Linked DNA regions of Drosophila melanogaster. The protein of the gene in region 3 interacts with the protein of the main gene of each other region in a pairwise test. Each region holds a gene or a part of one and is shown on either strand. Other genes may lie near its edges.

What was found.
Region 1: the proteins of IP3K2 (region 3) and ABCB7 interact in a two-hybrid assay, tested with the Drosophila melanogaster proteins (one large-scale study listed by BioGRID).
Region 2: the proteins of IP3K2 (region 3) and w-cup interact in a two-hybrid assay, tested with the Drosophila melanogaster proteins (one large-scale study listed by BioGRID).
Region 4: the proteins of IP3K2 (region 3) and CG7236 interact in a two-hybrid assay, tested with the Drosophila melanogaster proteins (one large-scale study listed by BioGRID).

What each region holds. Positions count from the first base shown.
Region 1 is NT_037436.4:1,616,571-1,623,913, reverse strand, and holds ABCB7 (ATP binding cassette subfamily B member 7), read right to left. Parts: upstream 5,501-7,343; 5' UTR 5,414-5,500; coding exon 5,297-5,413; intron 5,067-5,296; exon of another isoform or gene 4,997-5,066; coding exon of another isoform or gene 3,656-4,996; exon of another isoform or gene 3,517-3,655; intron 3,487-3,516; coding exon 3,360-3,486; intron 3,098-3,359; coding exon 2,872-3,097; intron 2,812-2,871; coding exon 2,657-2,811; intron 2,598-2,656; coding exon 1,249-2,597; intron 1,183-1,248; coding exon 925-1,182; 3' UTR 501-924; downstream 1-500. Other genes in the region: GC (gamma-glutamyl carboxylase), read left to right, coding at 1-401; CG33230 (uncharacterized protein), read right to left, coding at 3,656-4,996; CG13926 (uncharacterized protein), read left to right, coding at 5,812-6,207, 6,293-6,490; CG33791 (uncharacterized protein), read right to left, coding at 6,613-7,343.
Region 2 is NT_033779.5:10,575,354-10,579,761, forward strand, and holds w-cup (world cup), read right to left. Parts: upstream 2,440-4,408; 5' UTR 2,365-2,439; coding exon 1,403-2,364; intron 1,343-1,402; coding exon 1,075-1,342; 3' UTR 507-1,074; downstream 1-506.
Region 3 is NC_004354.4:13,303,610-13,308,550, forward strand, and holds the start of IP3K2 (inositol 1,4,5-triphosphate kinase 2), read left to right. Parts: upstream 1-1,905; 5' UTR 1,906-2,270; coding exon 2,271-3,338; exon of another isoform or gene 3,339-4,395; intron 4,396-4,941.
Region 4 is NT_033779.5:5,706,498-5,714,297, reverse strand, and holds CG7236 (uncharacterized protein), read right to left. Parts: upstream 5,908-7,800; 5' UTR 5,850-5,907; coding exon 5,731-5,849; intron 4,349-5,730; exon of another isoform or gene 4,201-4,348; coding exon of another isoform or gene 4,160-4,200; intron 2,396-4,159; exon of another isoform or gene 2,259-2,395; coding exon of another isoform or gene 2,149-2,258; intron 2,061-2,148; coding exon 1,874-2,060; intron 1,817-1,873; coding exon 944-1,816; intron 883-943; coding exon 745-882; 3' UTR 507-744; downstream 1-506.

The DNA.
Region 1 (7,343 bases), on a different chromosome or scaffold from region 3:
TCCCGGGACTAACTCTGACCAACTTCATCTCGCCGGACCTTATCAACTGCACGCTGACCATTCTTGAGGGAAATGTTCGGTACCGGAACGAGCGGGATCCGGAGGCCTATTTCCTGACAGCCGGCAAGAGCATCGGTCTGGAGAGCAACATCACCCACTTGGTCACCACCATTGGCCAGAAGCCAGCTTCGTATCTGTTCACATACACCAACAAAACGATGCTGGAGCAGGGCATCACGATAGAACAGCCTGATACCGAGGAGCGGTCTGTCCTGCCGCTGTGGCAGGAGTTCCAGCATCGGGTTACCAACTACCAGCAGTTTTTGGGCCACATTGGCAACTGCCTAATGTACTTGCTCTACGATGTGCCCATTCCGCAGGCCGTAAAGGGGGGAGATTGAAGGAGAAGGCTAACCATCGGCACTATTTCGGTTTTAGCCGTATCTAGATTCGATATTAAATCTGGTTAAGCAAATTCAAAACCTATATTGCCTATAAATCAGAGGATAACAATTTATATTGAAGAAATGAAGGTCCGATTTGAAGGATATACACAAATCCTCTTGGTTTTGTCTATATATCAATGAAATGCATTTAATAATATCACATTATTTTGCATTTACATAACGATACGCTCAAATCAATTAAATCTCGAAACAAAACCTTGGAAACCAGAGCGATATAACCGAATGTATGGGTGATAAAACTGATAATAAATGTTCCATATTGTACCACATCCCGTTCAATTTCTCTTATCGCATATCTACAGCTGTATTTACAAACGTCACAATGATACTTTAAGCCTATGAATAGCGAATCTCCGGTCCAGGAGGATTCTACGGTGAATTTAGTGGCTAGGGATTGCCAAACGAAGGGGATGGTTATAACATTATAACAAACACATAAATAGGCTAGGAGCCTCGTCTACGCCACGCCCCGCGTCTTCTTCGCTGCCACCTCCTCATTGATCTCCCGGCTCGGGTCGAACTGCTGCGTCTGCGTCTCCCAGAGGCGGGCATACAGTCCATTCTGCCTCAGCAGCTCCGAATGGGTGCCACGTTCACCTACACGTCCGTTCTCGAGCACCAGAATCTCGTCCGCATCCTTGACTGTCGAGAGACGGTGGGCAATGCAAATGCTAGTGCGTCCTGAGGTAGCGCGGGTCAGAGCCTGCAGAATGTTCTACAAAGGGAAGAAGTCCGATTCCGTCAGTTTATAGAAGTTCACTTAGTCGCTTTCAACACTCACATGCTCGGTGATCGAGTCCAGACTGCTTGTAGCCTCGTCAAAGATCAGAATGGGGGTGTTCTTCAGTATGGCCCTAGCGATGGCAACGCGCTGCTTCTCGCCACCGGATAACTTTAATCCACGTTCGCCTACCTGAGTGGAGTACTGTCCTGGCCAGCTCATGATGGAGTCATGCAAATCAGCCATGCGGGCAGCATTCTGCACTTCTGCGTGGGACTTGGACAGGTTGCCATAGTGGATATTGTGCTCGATGGTGTTGTGGAATAGCACCGAATCCTGCGGCACCACTGCAATAACCTTGCGCAGGCTCTCCAAATCCACGGCGCTGATATCCTGGCCACCGATCAACACTTTACCAGAGTTTGGCTCAAAGAAGCGGAAGAGAAGGCGCACCATCGACGATTTTCCTGAGCCAGAGCCGCCCACAATGGCGACGTTTTTACCGGCGGGTATGGTGAAACTGAGGTCCCGGAAAATGGGCTTGCCAGGTTCGTACTCGAAGCTCACGTTGCGGAACTCAATGGATGAGTTAGTGGTGTCCACGAACAGGGGCTGGGCATTGGCGGCTGTCTGAATGCTACTGTCCACGTTCATCAACGTGAACATGGCCCGCATGTCCAGCAAAGCCTGTCGCACCTCACGATAAACACTGCCCAGAAAACCGAGGGGGATCGAGAGCTGGAAGAGCAGGGCGTTGACCATCACCAAATCTCCAACCGTCATGTTGCCTTGGGCAATCTCCTTGGCGGCCAATACCATAATCAGACTCAGTGCGCTGCTGAAAATGGCGTTCTGGCCAAAGTTGAGCAGAGCGAGACTGGAGCTAGTCTTCAAGCTGGCCGCCTCATACTTCTTCAGCACCTCGTTGTAGCAACCCGCCTCGTACTTTTCGTTGTTGAAGTACTTCACCGTCTCGTAGTTGATCAGCGAGTCTACGGCCTTGTTGCCGGCCTCGTTCTCCGCCTGGTTCATAAATACACGGAACTGGGTGCGCCACTGGGTCACACTCAGAGTGTAGGCAGCGTATATGCCAACGCAGCCCATGCTGACACCAGCGAAGGCCAGGCCACACTTCACTCCCAGGATACTGGACACGAGGGCCAGCTCAAAGATAGTGGGCACAATGTTGAAGACCATGGCGGAGAGCACAAAGTTAATGCCCCTCGATCCTCGATCGATGGTCTTTGACAGTGCTCCAGTTTGTTTGTTCAGGTGGAAGGCCAGATCCAGGTTGTGCAGATGCAGGAACACATTGCTGGCGATCTTTCGGATCGAGTGGTGGGCCACCTTGGCAAACACTGCATTCCGCAACTCATTAAAGCCCGCCGCACTGGCTCTAGCAATGCCATCTGCGTGAATTAGACAGTTAAGATCTTTTATGATAGGGAACTCAGGCTAAGAAACCTACATCCCAACATCAGTGCGGTGGCTGCGGAGAGGACCGCATCCGGGGCAGTGTCCATGTTCAGCGTTGTCATCGTGTCCACAGCTCCTTTGAACAAGAAGGGGACACAGACGGTCAGCAGCTTGGAGCCAGCCAACAGACCCAGGGAAATACCCACCCTGTCAATTTGGAAAACAATAGATATTAAAGTATTCTCAGTCATAGTCAGATGAACTTACCGCTTTCGCACCAGTGGATCCTCCTTTGGCCAGATGTAGGCCATCATGGCACGCAGCATATCCTTGGAGGTGACCTCCGGCGCGTCTAGCTTGCCCAATCCCGAGCCACCATCGCTGCCGCCCCCTATATGAACATGACATAGTCGTGATTGCTGTTGTTGTGGGCGGTAAGGTCGCTGCCGCTGTAGCGTTGTTGTTTTTGCTGCTGCTGCTGCTGGGGCTCCACCTGCATTGAATTCACTTGGATGCAGCCAAATTCAGACAGGCGCTCAACACAACAAGCGCACAAACAAACAAAGAAACAAACGGACGCACGTACTCGGTCCACAAAACAAAATCAATTTTGGGTTGGTTAGTCAATAAAAAAAAAGCGTGAGAGGCTAGTACTAAATAAAAAGCCTGCGGATATCTGCAGGGGTGCTGTATTAATCAGGATACTCGAGCATTGGTTATTTACTGGGTAACTGATGCTGCCCCACGGCACCTACCTTTGGCCTTCTTGCCGAATACTCCACCCAGGAGCTTGCTACCCGGCGTGGGCGTAAACGGGGTAATCTTCTTCCGCTTGGCATCGCTGCTGTTCTTATCATCAACCTTAGTCAGCGAAGAGTACAGCTGAAAGGGGTCATTTACAAAATAAAGTTTACAGTTTTCTGTGATTTATTAAAAAAAATTTAAATGCCTCAAATAATATAAACTTAAGTAGTTTTTCTTTAACATCTATTACTATTCATTTCAATATTAAACGCCTTGTTTTAAATTCTAAGCTCAGCCTAGACAGCTTCTATGCAGCTAGATGCACCGATTGAAAGTCAACGAGGTAACGGATACACTCTTGGAGGTAAGACCGTGCCACTGCACCACTTTCTGTCAATTTAGGAAGCTTATCCAGCTCTCCTCCAAAGATCTCGTATTCCTTTATTTTATATTCTACGAGGTACGACAGCTCTGGCTGCACGTCCTGAAACTGCTCGGCGTCTCCAAAGGCAATCTGGTTGAGGATGTTGGGAAAGTAGGCCTGCTGCTTGAAGATCAGGTGCAGCACAACCCTTAGATTGTGAGAGCATCCATCGTCGATGTGCACGAACATTTGATCGTTCAGATTGTGCTCCCTGATGAATTTAAAGATGTTCCGGTGAAAGGTTTGCGTTGATAGCTCCTTGTTTTGCTTAATCATGTGCTCAATGTCCAGTAGGGAGACTTCAAAGTAATCGTGCTTATTTTCTCTTAGCCAAAAGCCATATTCCGTCAATAGCTTAAAGTTGGGCAAAGCACCGTAGCTGATGAACAATTGATCATATGGTTTGGTCTCGGAAAATGGCAGAGATTTCAATGTAAGAACGTAATCGGGACCCTCAATCCCTGCTGTGATTTCCACTTGATCTGAGTGGTTAAAAAGATCCAGAAACGGAGCCAATGCCAGGTTGGTGTCGCCACTGATAAGCGGCTGAAAGTAGTTGCTCTGCTTTTTCAGAAAGCGGGAACTGAGGTGGACGCTCCTAGTGTTCACGCTGAAGTAGGCCCACTTAAAGTCTGCGAGTGTCCAAATCTCCTGGCCGTAGCTCTTCCCACAGCAATCGCATTTGTGTACAATGTTCTTAATAATTTCAAAGTAACCTCTTATCTGACGGTTCTGGGCCACGGTCCGCTCTAGCAGGGATTCTGGCAGACACTGTAGCTCGGGTATGGAGCAGAAATACGGAGTGGAGTAGCACCTGGGCAGGGTGTCCAAATATGCAGCGTAAGTAGAGGAGTGAGTCCCTAGCGTACACTCCTGCAAGTGCTTGTGGTACAAAATATAACAGGCTATCAGTGCCTGAAAGGAAATTCTGGAGTCCTTGTCAAATAACTCTTCGTCGAAAAGACTTTTGAATGGCCCATCAGATTCCAGAGTCGCTATGCTTATGAGACAGCCAATGGGCAGGCGAATGAGCTCATCCTCCGGAGAAAAGGTCTTCTGTTTAGAGCATAGTCCTCGACCTGTCTGTTCGTAGTATTGGGCCGACAAGTGAGTGTGGTTCTGCCAGCCAACGGAGTGTAGATGAACGTAGAGGTCGTGCAGGGAGCCCGAATTCTCGTCAGACTTCTTGGCCCTCTGATGCCGGCGACGCTGCGTGCGACCCATTGTCCCCAATACCCGATCGATCCTCCAAGTCTGTGTGCGTGCGCGCTGTTTTGGTCTAACTCTATGCTTGCTGCAACGAAATAAGCCATAGCGTGGAGCATTAATTCAAGATTGATCGGATGGAAGTGGAGAAGGACCAAAACAACGCACACGCAGACTGTTTTCCCCGCCGATCGCCGGCTGTCCCCACTCAATCAAACCGCCAATTTATTGCGTATTTACGCGTAATTACGAAACCGTAATCTAGTCTAGATAGTCTGGCAGGTGGCCTTGAAATGGGTCTAGAGGCCGAGCACTCACCACTCTTGCCTGCACGTGTGTTCCCGGTCCCTTAGCGAGTGTGTAGCATTTCGCGCGTCCCAAGTGGGCGGGTAGGTGGATGCTGCACTGCTTGGTCAGGTGAAGGAGTCCGGCCATTACTCAATTGCCAGGCGAAAACAAAATAAAATCCCTCTTCTTTCGCACCGTCCCTGTGTTTTTGCTACGATATCAGCATTCGCATGGCAGCGTCAGCTGTTTGGAGTTGCCGTATCGCTGTGAATGGCAAGCCAAGTAGCAGTCGCCTGAACTAGTTCCATTTAAAATTTAAAAAAAAATCTTTTTTTAGGATTTTGGAATATGCATCAACTGTCAGAACATATGCAAGCAACAAATTCCAATATACTTCAATATATTTTTTTGTTAGAAACGTAGTGGGCTGTACACCATTAGGAAAGAAAGCATCGATAAGGTAGTTCCTTTTTGCTCATCTCCATAACATCTCCTCCCCCAACAAAGCGGGCATATCGAATTCTGGAATAGTCCACCGCTCGAAAATGTCGCTATTCGGTCTGATAGTCTCCGGACGCCTGCCCCAATCGGATTTTGTGGCCGTGGACGCCACCAAGTTGCTCGTGAATGTGCCCGACATAGAATCCGTCAACTACCTGGTAGTATTCCTCACCGGCGTATCACCCCTGCCCGTCGGCACCTCCGCTGCGATATATTTCAGCTGGCCGGACGCGAACGCAGCACCCACATGGCAGTATCTGGGTCACATAAACAACACCAAGCCCTCCGCCATCTTCAAAATCGCCCAGCTGAAGAAGAGTCACGAGCTGGAGGCCCAGGCTCACGGGATGGTCTTCGGCAGCCAGGAGATCTCACACATCGCACAGATTGGAGTTTCCCTCGAACCGGAGCTAACGGTGGCCCAACAGACGCCAGCCGTGGTAAGTTCTGAAGATCAGTAGTTGCCAACCGATTTGATTGGCGCAATAATTGCGATTCAAATCTAACCCCATTTCCAATTTTCAGTCCACTGCCAACGACAACAAGCAATTTGGTCAGCGAATGCTGGAGAACTTCTTCAACTACGCCTCCAGCTTCGGAGTGGCAGCCAGAGACATCCCGCCCATCTCGAGCGAGACCTTTGTGCCCTTCTCCGTCGTTCAAAATTGGTATACGAATTTCCAGCGTCGCATGGAACAGAATCCAAACTTTTGGAAGTACTGAGCAAAAGACAATGGAGGCGTCGCCTCCACAAGTTGTTGATATTACAAGTAAAGTTTTATATTTATATTCTTTCTGTAACTATTACCTATCTTTATTGGTGGACTTACAAAGGAGGATTCAAACTAGGGCTGTGGTTTTGTTGGGTCCAGTTCCGACTCCCCGGGAGTGCTTTGGGTTTCATTTCTACTGCCGTAATCTTTAGCAGGTCTGCGCTTTATGAATTCTGTATTGGAGGGCGCAGTCCGGAATGGTCCACGAGAAGTTGGCGTCGGAGCTGGAGCCGACCCTGATTTCTTTTTGCTTAAGGATTCTTGTCTTGTAGAAGGAGATATGCCGTCGTGAGAGGGTGAAGGTGACTTTCTAGACGGACTGCGGGAGGCCGATGCCCTGGGAACTACACTCGGTGCTGGAGCAGAGCCCGATCTCTTCCAAGCTGACGGTGATGCGCCATCATATGCAGAAGCATCTGGTTCCCTATTTCGAGCAGCTGAATCTTCATCAACCAGATTAGGAGCTGGAGCCGAGCCGGACCGCTGCTTTCCACCCCTTGGAGGTCTACTTGGCAGACTGATCAGTGGCTTACGGGGTGCTGGACCTGTAGGAGCTATAGACGCAGATGGAGACGAATCGGATCTCTTTTTTCCTCCAGATTCGCCCTTACCTGGTGGCGGCGACGAACCGCCCTTTGGTGGAGCGGCTGGTGGCTTAGTACTGGGTTTCGATTGCGCATCCGCCTTGGCCTTTGCCTGCTGCTTCTTGATCCGATCCTCGATTCGCTTCTTGTTCTCCGGCGTCAGCTCTCCGAAGATGCTTGTGATCAGGGCCTTGTACTCGTTGTAGTGCTGCACCTTGT
Region 2 (4,408 bases), on a different chromosome or scaffold from region 3:
CCGTGGGCTTAAGCCTGAAGCTTTGTCTGTCTGTTGCTAAGCGCCTGCCACGAGTGTCCGTCCGTCCGCCACTTTGAGCCCAGCTTCTCCTCTTCCTCCTCATCCGGACCATCTACGTTTTGTGCGTCACATCGAAGAAAAACGACGCAGATTTTTGGCAGCTTTGAACGGATTAGCCGCCCGTGGAGCGATTCCCACTCACCACCATGGCGATCAATTCTTTGGTATTTGGAAAGTTTAAAGTTTTCCTTAAGCGGAAAAATCATGTGAAACTCCCAGTTCAAGTATCCCTCAAGTTTCAGTATTACTGTACAACTTTCCTGCTGAATTAAATTTTAAAGCCAGTGGAACAATATGAAGTGAATACCAACGGACACCTTTTGTTCACTTCGCTGCTCCACTTTTCTCTTGGCTGCTGCGACCCCAAAAAAGCCCCACCACCATCACTTTCGCAGTCCATAAATTACAATACCAAAGGAGCAAAATTACAATAGAGCCAGGTATTTGGGTCAATTCTCATTGTCTTTGCTTTTATTTCGACATGCAAAACAGAAGTGGCGAAAATTTAAGGTTTGTGGCATATACAAAGCACAGAAATACTGTTGCATACCGCGGGGCGTTCAGAGTGGTGACTGTACCATGGAAGCTCAGTAAATGAGATACAGATGCACTTCTTCAAGATGCAAAGAAGCAAGTGCACACAATGAATGCAAGAGGTACAGTCCCATTGAATCCCCCTTTCGGCAGGTCGTCCCACTTCGTAGCTATGATTTCGGGGCTCGGGTTCTAGGTTATATTATATTCTTCTAGATTTGGAAAGCCCGGCAACACTTTTGTGGATATTTTTTAGAAAATGAAGTAGGGTGTATGTTGTAAAAATTGTGCTTGTACTGAGTGTGTAGTGTAGTGAGCAGTAAGTAGCAGCAGTAGCAGGAATAACAATCCTTTCATTGTAGATAAATGTAGTGTGTTTAGTTAATTTTGATCATTACTTTTGTGTGAGTCTGTGCTAGATGGAGCAACGATCTAGAAACTGATGGTGTGATATTATCCTATCTTTGGTGGTGGATCCACTTATTCCTCTTTTGCGTCTAGCATCTCTTTTAAAGGGGGGCTATTTAACGTCTGGTTCTTAATGGAGTGATAGTGGATATACAGTTGCTGGGCCTCGCTTTTGTAGTTGTTTTTCATGTCATTTTTCAGCTGCTTTAGCAGCTCCAATCGATAATTGTAGTTCTCCTTAAGGACATACATTTTCCTTTTGAAGTCCGCCTTGGCGGTGCGCTGTGGTATGGCTTGTACGGCGGATTTTGGCGGCTTACCCGAAGATGTGCTGTGACTACTGTAAAGAAATATAAGTTGAAGTATTATATGCCATATGGTATAAACCATATATGCTTACGTAGATGTAGATAAGGTTGTGTGGGTCACTGATAGAAGCATTCCCTTCCAGGTTTTCTTTCGCTGATCCTCTCTTAAAATGACTTCACCTTCCTTTGCACTCAGCTCGTCGCGAATTGTCTTCTTGACCTCCAGAGCCTGAATGCCACTAAAATATTCTTCCATGTCCTTCCTGATTTTTTCCCTTGGGTCAATGTATTCCTCTTTGCCAGGCATCACTTCGTTTGGCTTTTTCATTTCCGCCTCCTGAGCTGCCGATGAAGTACTTGCCTCCATTTGATCCAGTTTTTCGATTTTCACTTCCTCGGATTGCGGTATGATGGTATCCTGTTCCTTGGCTTCTTGAACTTCTTCCTTTACTGGTTTTTCTGGTGAGCTTGGTAAATTTTCCACGACATTTGAGCTTTCTTCTTTGGGACTATTTAACGTTTCTTCTGCAATTAATTGCTTTGATTTTCGGGCATTCTCAATGGTAAGCGTTTTATCAGAAACGGCATCATTTAACTTCATTTGACTTTGTGCCTTAGTTTTCGGGGAGATAGTTTCATCAGAGATCTTGTCAATAATTAACTCTTTGCATTTGTTCCTTTCTATCTTTGCTTCTGCCTGGTATTGTTCCTTTGATTCATTAGAATTGTTTAAAACAAAATATTTCGTTTCTTTCTCGTTACTGGAAATGTCCCGCTTTTTTTCAGTTTCTGCGGGTTTCCTAGTTATTTCGTTTGTATTTTCCTGTGCTCGACTTTCTTCCGAATTGTGCAGATGTGATTGCTGTTTCGTAAGATTCTTGACCGCGCTGAACTTATTTTGCTCAAGACTCATTTGGCCAAGTGATTCTTTAGAATCTTCTGAATATGAGTGATTCATAAAATGCAGCTCGTTGTGTTCACTATGTGCACTTGCTGCTTTCATCTTGTCTGTTTGTGGCACATTTTGATTTTTCAGAATTTCGGTCTCTTCCATTTTGCAGGTCGAAAATTTGAGTTTACGGTGTTTTGTTTGGTTTTGTGTACAGAAAATTGACCCGACTTGTTTCACATCATTTGACTGACTGGCTAAAACTCCGTACGGCAGGTTTAACAAAAGTTCAAAGGCCAATTTGACCCTTGACTTTTTCCGATAGCACCGAAACAAAAGGCATTCTGTGCGGAAATCTTCAAAGCCACGACAACTCTGGCCACAGCTCGAGGCATTTGGGATCTGATTCGAGGCGCAAAAAGTATTTGCCACCCACAAAAGTTTCCCTTCGAACGCCCCTAGGTATTCCATAAAAATAAAAGGCAAAGAAACATAAACATAAACAAAGCCGGACAGCATTCTTATCGCCTTTATTTATTATGCAAACTTTGCTTGCCTCTAAAATTTTCCAGCTGCATGCAAAGGTCTTACCACTGATTTTCAGGCCCACCTCGAGGAGGTTTGACCCGGGATCAGGGTTAATCAAGGAGCACATTCATCAAATTGCCACGCAACACGAGGTCGTGGCATGCAATGCCACAAATATGTTTAAGAATTTACAGTAAATTGTAATGAATGCTTCTAAAAAAAAATGCACAAAACACATGTTTTCTTTAAAATAATTAAAACAAAATTTCAAGAAGAGAGCAAAAATTAGAATGCCATTTAAATTCAAGCTGAGAAATTTACATTGCTGACAGCTAAAATTGGGGCTGTAAATTTTTAATAAGTTTTCCTACTTTGGTAACGGCTGTTCTTATATCTAAACTCGAAGCCCCCATTCTCATCTGCCACACTTGCTTCCACCATGGAACTCTACTCGTAGTCTATAATGCAACATTTGCGCAACGAGAACAATTTTTTTTTTTTTTTTTTTTGGTGGGATAGAAATGGGTTTTGCGTCTAGACAACTGAAGGGCAGGGAAATTGGAGGGGTTTCAAATACTACTACTCCTGCAGCTCCTCTGGTGATGCGGCATTTTCGCCCCACGTATCCGTCTGGAGCGATTTTGTGTGGTCTGAGATTTGGAATACAGTCAGCTGGCAAATTCGAGGGCCTTATGTGGCTTAGAATGGCCCGAAGGAACATGGTCTGCATGGCTAATAAGCCGCTGCAGCCAGGATTGGTAACTGGAATTGGAAAGAAAGTGGGGTTAAGATTTCTTATAAAAATGTGGGAATGGATTTAACAATAAAAATTTAAATAAAATAAATATTGATTTAAAACAATAATATTTCTTTAATCAAACTTCCTTTATTTTTATTTGAATTTTTATAAGTTTTTTTTTTCTAATTGAAATATTTGATAGCAGAGTTGATTGTCTTAGAGCATAAATATTTCATACATACATTTCAGGCTTCTTTTTTTAGCTTTACTTTAGAACGTGATATTAGCGTGCACATTTAAGCCGCCACACTAACCGCATTTGGGGCTAAAAACCCCCACCAATCCAACGCCATACAATCAATGTGAATCAATGTGCCAATGAACTCGTCAATGAACTCGTTATCAACGCTTTTTGGCGGCTAATAGAGCGGATTTTTCCAAACGTTTTTCGACATGCGAGCACGCGAACCAAAAGTTTTAAAAACCCGGTAACTGTGCAGCACGTGCCACGCCCCCTCGCCTGACGACGCCCCAACGACTAGCGACTCACGAAATTATTACAATTATTATTATTATTATTTTTCTCGTGCTGTTTATGCATATTTTGGGTCACGCACGATGCGGCAAACTGTCAGCCGGAAACGGAATTGATTATCGGCGCTACCGAATCCGGCTTTTAGTTCAGTTCACTTCAGTTCAGTTCGGTTCCACTCTCCCCGAATTCCTGTTCCTTTAACCCCTGCTCCATAATTTTTATCTGTTTGCGTGCCTTGTTGTCGTTTGGCTGCCTGCATTCAGAAGTCGCTGGCATTTAATGACTTAATTTGGCCGACTGGGCCACTGCTTTGCTGGAAAATGCAGGAAAACCCGGCTAGAGTTTGCGAAACACTCGACTTTTTCACTTAAAGCAACTAATCTCTTTAGAATATTTCTTAAATGGGA
Region 3 (4,941 bases):
AAGCAAGATGGGAACTTATTTATAAGCAGAAACATGAACACGATACGAACATGGGCAGAGCTATTTAATTTTGTTCATATTTCAACGGGAATTTTACAGCTTGTAATTGTTTACTAAAGACTGCTGCCAGTTTTAAACCATACAATTTAGTTTTTAATAAGTGCTTGTACTGCAAAATTTAATTATACCTTTTGTTTCGGTAAGCTTCATAAATCTGATCTTGAAAAACTAGTTAGTGCTTTAGTTGCTTTCCGGGAAAAGTTCTTAGTCAGCTGGGTTTTTTTTAATTCATTTTTTTTTTTTGGCGATAAATCACCGATTCGTCCCATTGTGCGTGACTGTGCGCTTGTAGTGGTGCTCGCAGAGTGCTTTATTGCATTGGGCTCGCATCGCCTGTCAGTCTGTCACTGTGTGTGCTGGTGTGCGTGCGCCTCTCTGTGTGTTCGCGCGTGTGTGTGTGTGTGCGACGTATCTGTGCCCGCTCAGTGCTCTGTGCTCAAATGCAATTTACAATTACGCGCGGCAATTGGAGCAGCTACCGTTGTGTGCGTGCGTACGTGCGGGATCATTGCACATTGCGTCAACGTTTCAAGATCACAATTACAATTACCCCGACGCAGTGGCAGTTGCAGTAGCACCAAAAAATCCATCTCAATTGCGAGAGAACCGAACAGTGGCAAAAGCAACCGAAAATTAAGTAAGGCACAGCAAATTTGTCGAAGAAAACTATCAACAATACAAGTAAATAAGAACGGCAGAACGGCCGCCCGCCCCCACAACAGCTGCTCTCCGTTGATGCGCCACTCCACTCCGCGGCTCAACGATTCTTCTATACAATTCTTCGAGCCTCCTCCCCTCGCCCATTCTCGCCCCACGAGACTCCCCTCCCCCCGCCCCCCACGCTGCTCTTCTCGATTCTTTTCGCCCCTCCCGCCGGCCCGCTGGAAAAAACGGGCAGAGCTGCAGAGCCGCAGAAAGCGATTTCAGTTCGGCGACGGCAGCGCACAGGTGCCATTCGGAAAGTGCGGACGTAGAATGTTTGCCGGGAATTCCAGTGGCATTTTCACCTATAGTTCCACTCGATTTTGCCTCGACGCCAGCGTTAGTAGCGCGTTTCGACGGAACACACAGATCGTTTTCCAACACCATAAGCACCATTTCACTTTTGAGTCTTTCCTTATCAGTCACTCCCAATCACTACCCAACCATCATCCACTACTCTTCACTAGTTTCTCTTTCTACTATCCTTTTTCTTATTATTCCCATCCTCCCTTTTAACTATCTTCACACACTCATTCTTAACGGAAATCTTCACTGTTTTTATGCTTTCTACTATCGTTCTATCCGCCAGCCTTTCACTTTTCACTCGCTTCTAACATTTACCATTCTAGCTATTTTTTTACCATCTCTTACCATTGAATTCTTTATATAAGCCTTAGTAAATTAGTATACAGAAAATAGTACGAATTTCCATTTTCCATTTTCTGCACTTTTTTCAACTTCTTCTGCTTACAACATCTTTCTTATCACCAATCCCATTACACTTTCTTGCATATTCCTATTTCATTTTTGCTGTTCTAACGAATCTCACACTTACTTCATTAGTCCCAACTCTTTGCTAACCTGGTGTATACATACCTTTACCCACCCCACCTCTACCCGCGATCCAGCCAATCCATCCATGTGAGATGAGTGCGTGCGACGGCGGTACGGGAACGGTTTCGCGAACGTCTGACGCCCCCGCTTTCCAATTCGATGTCATGCCAAAGATAACGACGTCGACGTCGACGTCGAAAGCGTCGGCAGCGAGGGCGAAAACGAAAACGACAGCAAAAGCAACAACAATTGGAAAAACAACAACGACGACAACGCGGAGAACGGTTAAAATTGAAAATAAATGGACGACGGCAGAGGCAACGGCGTTCAGTTATCAGCGGACAGCGGAGCAGATTGGAGCTAGTGCCCGAGCCAGAGCCAGAACCAAAGTAGCAGCTACAGTCAGAGCTAGAGCAAACCCAATTGCGGCCACATCCAATCAGCGAAGTGACATTGGTTATCCATGTGAGGTGGCATCCATCTCCGAGTTGGCCCTACGCAAGGCGCAGTTGAAAGCGCAATTTTTCGGCAATCAAGTGGGTGGATTAGCCCGCGATAGCGAGACAAGCAGCACCACTAGAATCACTCGCACCACCAACTACCGCAGTGCTTATCCCAGCTGCAAGACGGAACGAGGCAAGCCGGTGCAACAGCTAATCGATCAGTTCCAGGCCATGATTGTCCAGCAGCAGCAGCAGCAGCAGCTGAGCAACGAGGGCGAGCCCAAGACACTGCCCGGAGCCACTGCATCCAATTCGGATGAGGGCTGTAATGTCACCGGCGGCGGACTGAGTCCCTATAGCAGCGACAACGAGGATAACAGCCTATCGCCGAGGCAGCGCAAAATGAAGGTCACACGCTGTGCCAGTAGTGATTCCGCCCTGGGTCTGGACGTGGACGATGGCGGCATGGATGTGCCGTTGCCGCCACAACGTCGGATGACACTGACCGTAACGGATTTACCCCTGCGACCGGCCCTACTGCCACTGGCCGAACCCACAGCCCTGCCAGATTCGCCACTGACATCGCCCACCGGCGGTGGCAATCCGAGCGTGGGTGTGCCCACCAAGGTGCTGCTCGAGGAGCGAGTGGTAGCCGCACCGGGATCGCGACGTGAATCCACCCAGAGCTCGTACAGCGAACTGGGCGTCAGTGGACTGCCGCTGGGCGTGCGCTATGTGCGCACACCATCCGTCGTGGTTAGCGACTATTCGGATGACATAACCGCCTGCGGCATTAGCATGGAGGAAATGGAATACTTTCGTCTGCAGCGGGCGCGTGGTCAGCGGCGTTGTTCCCTGGAGGCGGGACATCACAGTCATAGCGGTGGACATGGCGCACATGGACACGGTGGATCGGGAGCGGCGGGAATGTCGCCGGGATGTGGCAAGGACGATGGCCAATCGGATGTCAGTGCAGCAAGCAGTTGCAGCAATCTCTACTATTGTGGATCCACCATTTCTGCCCTCGATGGTGGCGAGTGCATCGTGAATGGAGTTCGAGTTGCGCTCGCCAGGAAGAGCAGCACCCAGAGCAGCAGTCTCAGCGACGAGGAGGAGGAGGAGGAGGATGACGACGAGGATCGCGATGAGCAGGATCGCGATGAGGATGATCGCGATGCGGAGGAGATGCTTCAGGAGGATTACGAGCGGGGGGATCGCGAACGTGAGAGGGAGCGGCAGATCAGCGAACTAATGGCCGCCACGCAGCTTGGTGATCGTCAGCGGGATCGATCCAAGAAGGTAGGCGCCCGCGATGACGTCACAAACCAGGGAAATCTCAAACTAGACTAAAGAATTCGGGTTGGCAAAACGGACAAGTAACAAAGTGGAGCAGCCTAGTAAATTTAATATTAAACACTATTTTTTTTTTTTCGTTTTTAAATATCATTAATGATTGTTTGTGTTGTTGTTATCGAAAGCATAAAAGAGCAGTGAATGAGGGCAGGTCTGAATGGCAGCGAAAGAGATAAGCAAGTTGGTGCATATACACAGGGAGAAACGGGTGCTACGCGTAGATGAAATGTGGCATAATTAAAAAAAAAAAAAAACAATCTATTTTGCTCTAGAGCAGTATTATACCGTTTAGTTTATCAACTGCAAGACCATTATAACTATAGAAAAAGACTATAATAATAAGACTTTTACAATACGCATATCTATTAAATATAAAAAGAAAAAAAAAAACAAAGAAAATCCCTTGAACTACTGACTTGATAATGCGAATTACCACTAAGTTTCATCTTGTTTTAAAGATGATGAGATGATATATAGGCTCAAGAACGGTAATCCCGCGCCTTATCAGCTAATGGTTTTTCCACCTTGCATATGCAGGTCTTTTCTTTCAGTGTATGCGTTTGCTTAAAAGGCTATTAATTAATTAGAATTTTATCTTATCACTAAAATGAGGTTCTGTTACTCGGAGAAGTCTTTTTGTATTCTTCGCTTTTCGTTCGCTATAATAATTATCGTTTTTTTTTTTTTTTTTTTTTTTTTTTTGAGTGAATGAGAACGATATGATGGTGGTGATGTTGAAAAATAGGGGGTTCCTTGATAAAAAAAAAAAACAAGTATATATCTACGAAAATACGAAAACCTCGGATCCGTTGGTTTAATTCGTTTTTTTTTTCGTATCTAGAACTGCAAAACAAAACAACGGCAGCGATAGCGAGGAAAAGAGCTTATCTTAGTTAACTGTATACTGTATTATAGATAAATATTATGTACATATATAAGCCAGCACATATTTACGTTTATATAATGGCATCTTTTTTTTTTTGTGGTTTATTATTCCTTTTGTTGCTGTTGCTGTTGTCAGCAGACGGCGAAAAGTTTGTAAAGCAAATAAAAGTATTAGAAACCGAATTTTCGGAGTCATGATAACGATAATAAAGCAATTCACCTGGATATCTCATACATACATACATGTACATATGTGTATATGCAAGAGATATGGATATGTATGTTGTCTGATCGTATATGTATGTGTGCCAATGTGTGTTTGGTTAATAATGTTACGCGCTTATCAAGCGGGTTTATCTGCCTGGCATTCATATAGCAATATATGGTATATATGTATATATATACCCTCACCGCCGACAAAAGCAATAATTGGAGGCATCCCAGAAATGGCCTGTTGTTCTTCTACTTTTTTTTAAGCCACGGGCATGCGGCTTATATATGCTTAATACGATATACTATCTACTGTATAGTGTGGTTATATCTATGATGATCCCATCCGCCAGTCTAACACAATTGTATAAAGCTCTGTCTTACGGGTTGTTGTTTTTTTCTTTTATTTTTTTTTTTATTATTATTTTTTTTTCTTTGCGGTGGGATGAGTGAT
Region 4 (7,800 bases), on a different chromosome or scaffold from region 3:
ACACGAAAGCCGATACGTGTCGCTGATTATCTGCCGTGTGCTTAGCACTGGATTAAGCTGCCAAAAAACGTGGTATGGACGCCAGGAGGCGATATCTGTCGACGATGAAATACTTCAGGAGCGGAGCCTCAAAAGAGGGTATCAAGCAGTTCATGTATATATATCAAAGGACTGCAAAACAGACCTTATTGAATCAAATATAAAGTAAACGAACTTATAACATTATATAATTATAAATGTTCTATTAAAAGGGCTCCGCTGTTCCCAATCCGCTCCTGGTTAAATAGATGTAAAAATGTGTAATCCAGACCAGGCTCAACAAGTAGGTGAGAGTTGGAGGTGGAATGTAACCGTTTGACTAGTCGACATGCTGCAAGGATTTTTAATTCGATGTACGTGTGTGTGCAAGGCTGAAAAGGATTCGAGCCAGGACGCAACTGGAAAGTGAATTAAAGATTAACCTGGAGTGATTTGCGAATCTCATGGACTAACGGAATTGAAAATTTATGGAATAAAACATTATGTAGCACATTTTATTTGATGACAGCTGAAAATTGCACTTTAGACTTAGTTACTAATTCAGTTCGGCCCGAAGGGATGAGTTGCCAAGTGTTTACGAACGTTCCACCCAGTGATATATTAATGGATTACTTTTACACATTTATTCCCAGCAGTAAATAAGTTAAATTTCGGGCTCAATTCTCGCTCAAGGACATTACTTCGTTACAAATTCTCTGCTCAAACTCAAATTGTGGGCAGATGATGCTCGGTGCGATGTAGCAGGTTTGCATTCTTGTTCAGGGGCTGCAGCTTCACGTAATCTTGATGCGGGTGATGATGATGCTGCGTGCTAGGCAGCAGCGGTAGTGATGTGTTTGAAGTCTGTAATCGAAAGGATATACTAATAGATTGAATTATCCTCTGAGAGGACTGCCGTACGCACCTTTGATTTATCCCGGGCCGCCGCGATGGCCGCCGCCTGAGCAGGACCCGTCTGGAGCTGCTGGGCCGCCGTGGCCAGCATGAACTGCTGGGAGGCGAGCTGCTGCTGGCGGAGATTGGCCGCCTCCAGGCTGTTGACGTGCTCCAGTTCGCGCTGCTTAGCGATGTAGTCATCGAAGTAGGAGTGCTTTGTGAGCTTCTCGCAGGACCAGCGCTTGGTCGGATCCTTGTCCAGGCACTTCTTGAGAAAGTCAATGGTCAGGGGATTCTGCTGCGACTTGGCCGGCATCTTGTCCTCCAGCGGCTCCAGCGTCGGCGGCACTGGCAGCGTGATGCCCTTAAAGTACTCGTTCTGTCCAAAGATCTGGATGTGGCGCGGCAGCAGGTCGCCGAGCGTCTTGCGGATCAGATAGAGCTGATCCACATCGCTACGTCCTGGCCAGAGGGCCTCGCCCCGGACCAGCTCGGCGAAGAGGCAACCGATGGCCCAGACGTCCACCGGAGTGCCGTACTGAGTGTCGCCCACCAGCAGCTCCGGCGCCCGGTACCATCTGGTGGCCACGTAGTCCGTGTAATTCTCGCCCGGACTGAGCATCCGGGCGAAGCCGAAGTCACACAGCTTCACCTGACCCTGGGCCGTCAGCAGAATGTTCTCCGGCTTGATGTCGCGGTGTAGGCAGCCCTGCTTGTGGCAGTAGGCCACGCCCAGCAGGGTCTGGTAGCAGATCTGTTTGGTCAGGTGCTCCGGGCAGCCCTGTGGATGCCGCTCCAGTTCGTGCAGCACGGTCAGCTCGCAGAACTCGAAGACCAGATGGAGGCGTCGCTTCCGTCGGAACACTTCTAGCAGGGAGACAAGGTTCGGATGCTTCAGGTTCTGCAGGAAATTTCGAGTGATTAAGTGATTCAAGTGATTTAAGTTATTAAGGCTTACCTTCAGTAGCCTAATTTCTCGCAGTGCAATTTTACGAATCGCTGGATCATCCTCGGACTCCACAAACCTCTTGACCGCCACCAGAGCACCCGTTTCCCGATCCCGGCACTTGTAGACCACACCGTAGGAGCCCTCGCCCAGCCGACTGAGCTTCTCATAGCGATCCATTTTGCTGCTACCTTGTGGTCTGCAAGGAAGTTAACAGGTATGAGTTATTCCGGAATTCCCACCCCGATTGCGGCTAACGTTCAGTTTGAGTTTGGAGTGGATTTTACCTTAAGCTCAAACATTGACCACGTTTGATGTTTGCACGTCGCATTGCTTTGCATTGGGCACACAAAATGTTCAAGAATTTTTCTGTTTGATACCTCAGACACGAACACATGTGGACTCACAGGGGCGAACTTGCATTCTAGGATATGCGAGCGAGTATGAAGTGATTTGATATTCGATCTGGTATTATTTCAAGGGCTGTCTTACGATTTGATGTGTATGCATATATGTACAAGTTATTATATTGAATAGGTTTGGTTTTTTTTTGGGGATGTCCAGAACATTTTGGAGGTTTGGTTTCACGAATTCGGTATGATTTGGTTAGTCGATTTCGATGGAATGAAACAAACAACAAATGAGAGAACTTTTAGAATGAGTTATTTGGTTTAAACGTTAATTTTGGTGGGCCAAAGGAACTGTTAAATAAAATGTAATAATAATAAATTAAAATGTGCCGAAGTACATCAATATAAACTTCTTCCTGCTAACTTTTTCCAATCTAAATGCAGCTATTATAGCTAATCAAATAAATCGATATTGTAAACATTCAATTGCCATTAGATACACAACCTAATCATTACTACTCTGCCATTTATAAGCACGAGAACTAAATCGATTTTTTTGACCCAAGTAAACATAACCCTATGTGGAATTGTCATTGATTTGAGTGTATGGACTAATGAATTCTAACATTTTTACACAGTTTAAGTGAAAATAAGATTAAAATAACTTATTCTGTTCATTCAGAATTGTACCATTAGTATTAGATTAGAAACCGAGGGTAATTAACTTTCTAGCGTGAACACGAAAACTAAATCGATTTTGTAGCCCCAGGTGTTCGAGAGCGTGCTCCTTTGAAATTGGCATTACCGGTCTGGTCGAGGACTTCACGGGTTGACAGTTCAATGCCAGCCACAAAACCTTAAACGGGGTAACTGAACCCTGCTTGGGCCTTTCTGCATCTTTTGCTAACATGTGTGTGGGTCATAAACATGGCATGCAATTAAATATTTGTGTGCTTATGATGGTGGTGCTGGTTGGTGGCACAAATAAATGAAAGCAACACAGGACACCGAAAACGTAGCAAGCAGATGACTTACCTAGGCACCCATCTGGCTAATATCTGACGTATTTGCCACTAGAGTTAGTAATTGAATTGTGAATGAATAGGACATATATATATATATATATATGTATTTGATTAAAGTCTTTTGGGGGAAGTCTACGATACACACCATGCGCCGAATATTCCGCCAAGCCTGTCGATCAATAAATATTTGAATGGGTAGACCGCTTGAGCGGACGTATGTTTTGTCTGACAACTGAGCACCGAATGGGGGAAACGCTAGAGCCGACCTGTGCCCCATGTCGACCAGGTCGACTCCACCCCACTGGCCAATGTCATAGCAATGCGACCAAAGTTAACAAAGCAAAAAACCACAACAAAACCAAATCCATGCGCAGTTGCCCCCAAAGTTGTTCAAGAAGTTTCTCCCCTTTGTTGTTTTTTCTAGCGACTACCGGAAGACATTCAAGGTGTGCTTCTTTCCCAGCTTTCCCAGCTCCTTTCCCACTACACATTTTGAGGTTACCTGCTGGAGTCGTCTGTCTAAGGAGAAGGCAGGGGAGTCGCTTATGAACCGGGTTCTTTGACACAGATTGCTGGAGGATTCCATATAGCTAAACTGGTGCAGCAGTGCAATAAGTTTGTCGTAACTACGCGCTACGTGGGCGCTTCGGGGGTGGATTCTATTTGGGGTCCTTATTACTAATTAATGTTTGAATCGCTGTGCAATTATAACAGTATTAGGGATGGCTTTTCCTGGCTGAATAACTTAAGTATTGCTGTGCAGCTAATTTGCTTGCCAGGGGTCACTTATTGTGTTTGCTTTTCGAAGCTGTCCAAACTTTAAAACTTTCACAGTTCACAGGCAAATAAGATAAGTTATGATGTTAATAATAAATGTTAATTTTTTTTTTTAATTTTGTTTATTTTTTTTTTTTTGCTCATACCTTCGTAGGGAAAACAATTTAGAAATCTCAAACATTTTCATTGCAGTATCGAATTTTTTCCAGTTCACCTTTTGTCTATATTTGGTTTGTTTCCGTGTTTCCTTCACTTGGGCCAAACAAAGAGCCCTATAACTTTTTGGCAGAACTACACGATGTGAAGACGTTAAGAGCCGGCAATCGACTGAGGTGCTTTTGGCTAGAAACGAGTTTGGAGAGCGACGGAGTTGGTAGCAGCTCGGTTGCATCAGCGGACATCGCACATACGCCGCGTTGGCCAATGGCGACTTTGATTCCTATGTTTTTGTTTGTTTTGGTCTTGCGTGTTTCATTAATAATGCATTTAAGTGCAGTGGAAAAACACGAAGGTGAGCGTCGAACATAAATTAGGAACCATAATCACGCATACTGTATAAGCAATATGTAAGGTATATGTATATAAAACGAATTCTTTGACCGGTGTGGTGTATTAGGTAACTAATTTCCTTGAAATTTACCTTTAAGAAGTGTATGAAAGTATAGTGACAGCACCCCACTGATTTCTGATTTGCATAATTACTGAGAACTCCCGTCGACCCCGTTCCAACTTAAACACCATCTGCTTGCCTTATACATTTGACAGCTTTTGTTTTCCGCGAAAGCACTTTAACCTTTCCCACTTTGATTTTACCTTTATTCTAGGCTCTTGTGGCTTTTAATTATATTTTTGTATTTATTGTTCTATGTAGTTGTTTGCGCATAGCAATTATTTGTTCATGTCGTTGTCATGATGTTTGCACTCAATGTTGGGGTCAATGCTTCCCAGCTTAATGGCTCTTCGTTTATTTACCATTCTGATACTGACCCCCGGTATTTGTGTGATATAGCAGCGCTAAAGTTTATTTAGTAATGGGTATTATATAAGAATGAGAGGAGAATTAAAGCACTTCTATTTAAGAAAAAGGAACATTTAGCTGGCCTTTAAAATAGATACTTAAAATTGAAATTTACTTATACGAGTTTAGCTTACTGAAGTCAGACTGAATGGTCTTTATTTTTAGAGAAACCACACATTTTTAGATGTTTAATATTCGTACTGCCTTGTGGGTTTATTTCAAGTGTCTGTACTTGCTAAAATAGCAATAATATGTCAAGTAAGTAAAGTTTTTTAGCAAAACCTCTAACATCGCCTTGTAAAGTCCCTGAACCTTTTGGCCATATAAATATTGCGGGTTGTTGGTAAGGGTTGTGTTGACGTGGCCTTTGGGAAAACAAGCGTAAAATGCAATAAATAACAAGCCATTAATGCCAAATGCTCACACACGCACCGAGTGTCCCAAACTTTGTGCGAGGTCTGTGCAAAAAGCGTTGCCTACTTACGGGGATAGCAGAGCTGAAGCGCTTGGAGGACGAAGCAGGCATATGCGTGTGAAATGAAAGGCCAAGGCCGTTGCAACACCACCTCCACCAGCAGCGACTCAAATGTCATTGGGAAAAGTTTATCCTTTCTGCCCGTTTTAGCACTGCATTTCACTTTCATTCCGCAAAAAGTTGGTAAAGCTAATTAGGGCCACGAACGGCGCTAATCGACCCACCTGTACTGCCTGGTCTCAACTAAGTCCGGCTCATTGCACACCTGGATCTTCTGAATGAGGCGGTAGAGGAAGGAGTTCTGTAACGATTGCGGCAAGTAGAACGATGAGCTGTGAAACATTGCACGTCGCCAGGCGTTCGTACGGCTGCAGGGTCTCAGGATAACTAAGTTGCACTTCGACGGTCTCTCGTCTATTTATTTTATCGATACATGATTTCAAATGCAACGGACATCATGAATACTTTATGCATGGAGCGACATTCCTTCTCAAACAGGTGCAAAAAACCGGCTCTGTTTCTGACGTGTCTCGTGCCGGCAATGCTTTTCCATATTGTTTAAGATTTTTTTGGGTCAGAAAAAATGCGGCCGGGGGAAGCCAAAGGAACATGCAAATGAGTCAGGCGCATAATGCGAGAAGTGAGAGTTGCGACGGCAGGCGAATGAGGCAGAGTTTGCCACATGCCACAGCGAGGCACACGAAATCAGTGGTGCAAGCTGGAGGGAAAAAAACGGCTTGCGGGGATTCAATTATGTAAGGTGAGGCGGGCACCTGTGAGTTTTGGCATCCACTGTGGGAATGAGAGCGACTGTCAAATGCCATGAAAGCGCCAAACAAATGTAAGTATCCTGCTGGCAAACCGAAAACGCGATTCTAATTCGCGGCTGTTGAAAAGTCCATTCACCAAAAGTGCTGATATAAGCAAAGCAGTCCCATTATAACATTTTTTGAGCACAATGAACGTTTAGATCTTGGGATCATGGCAATTCAATGTGAATAAACTTGATTAAAGTTTAAAAAACCCTTACTAATTTCACATAAATAAACTTAGGAAATGTATGAAACACATCAAATTGTTATTGCTACCAGAACAGCATGAATTGCGCTCCTTGGGTCCTGGGTCATGATCATGAACTTGTCTTGTATTATATAACTATCCATCTCCTGAAACAACTTATCAATAATTACCAAAGAAAAGTATGTGACTTGTAAAAACCTTCTCATGAACAAGTGTGCGAGTACAAGTGTTATGTATCAATCATTTGCTTACAGTCTGATGGGCAATATCTTATTCTATTTCAGTCAGATATGTATTCCAGCAAAAAAACATTTCCCTCTGTTCCTTTCGAGCAAAACGCAAGTGTCGTTGACATTTGCCGAAAATAGGGTTTTCGTCTGCTTGGATCAAAAGCATTAAAAACCGCTACATCATCCGTTCCCATAAGTATGCAATATTCCTTCAGAGCTGCTTGTCTGGCCTGTCAGAATTCGGATGGTAAGTGGGTTGATGTTGGAGACAAATCCAAGCTCCGAACGCATTTCAATGCAATTTGATGTCTCTGTACTTGATTTCATCTCTTTTCGCTTTTGTTCTTCTGCATCTTTTTTTCCGTGCACATATACTCGCATTGATTGAAATTCAATTTGATTGGAGTTTTTGTCCTTTTTGGTCCTGTGGCTTCTTGGTTAGATCTTGTGTAAGTTGAGTAGCTTTTAACTGTCAGTTTCAAAGGCGTTCAAAGAAGGTATCTAAATGTTAGTTAGAGACACACAATGTTTTCATACGATGATTACTATTTACTGTAGGGTTGGTTATTCACAAGGCCCGACGTTAAGCAAAACAATATCAGGGGCAACACTCTATCTGCGCGCCAATCTTGAAGTTCAAGTTTAGGCCAAAACAATGAAAAAATGTTTGGATAGCACTTTTTGTTACCATTCAATGCAATGCAATGCCAAGTTCGACTTACCTTCTGGGCAAAAGTGGAAGGTGGTTACCAAACAGCCAGAGACGTTTCTCTCCGAACCATTTGTCCATAGACAAGCATTTAATAACTGTTTGGAAAATTGATTTTAAAATGCCGTACTATTTCTGGAATCTCGAAAGTGATTTCCGCATCCTGCGAGCATTTAACTAAATGGATTTTCACGCGCGAGATGCGAGGCGAGTTTCGCGTCCGTTGGCGAAGAAATATTAACAAACTTTGTTTATAAGCGTAGTCCACGCCGTAAACGTAGCCGGAATTTTTATGTGCGCCGGCATTGAAAACGCCGAAGACAATGGAATGGAGT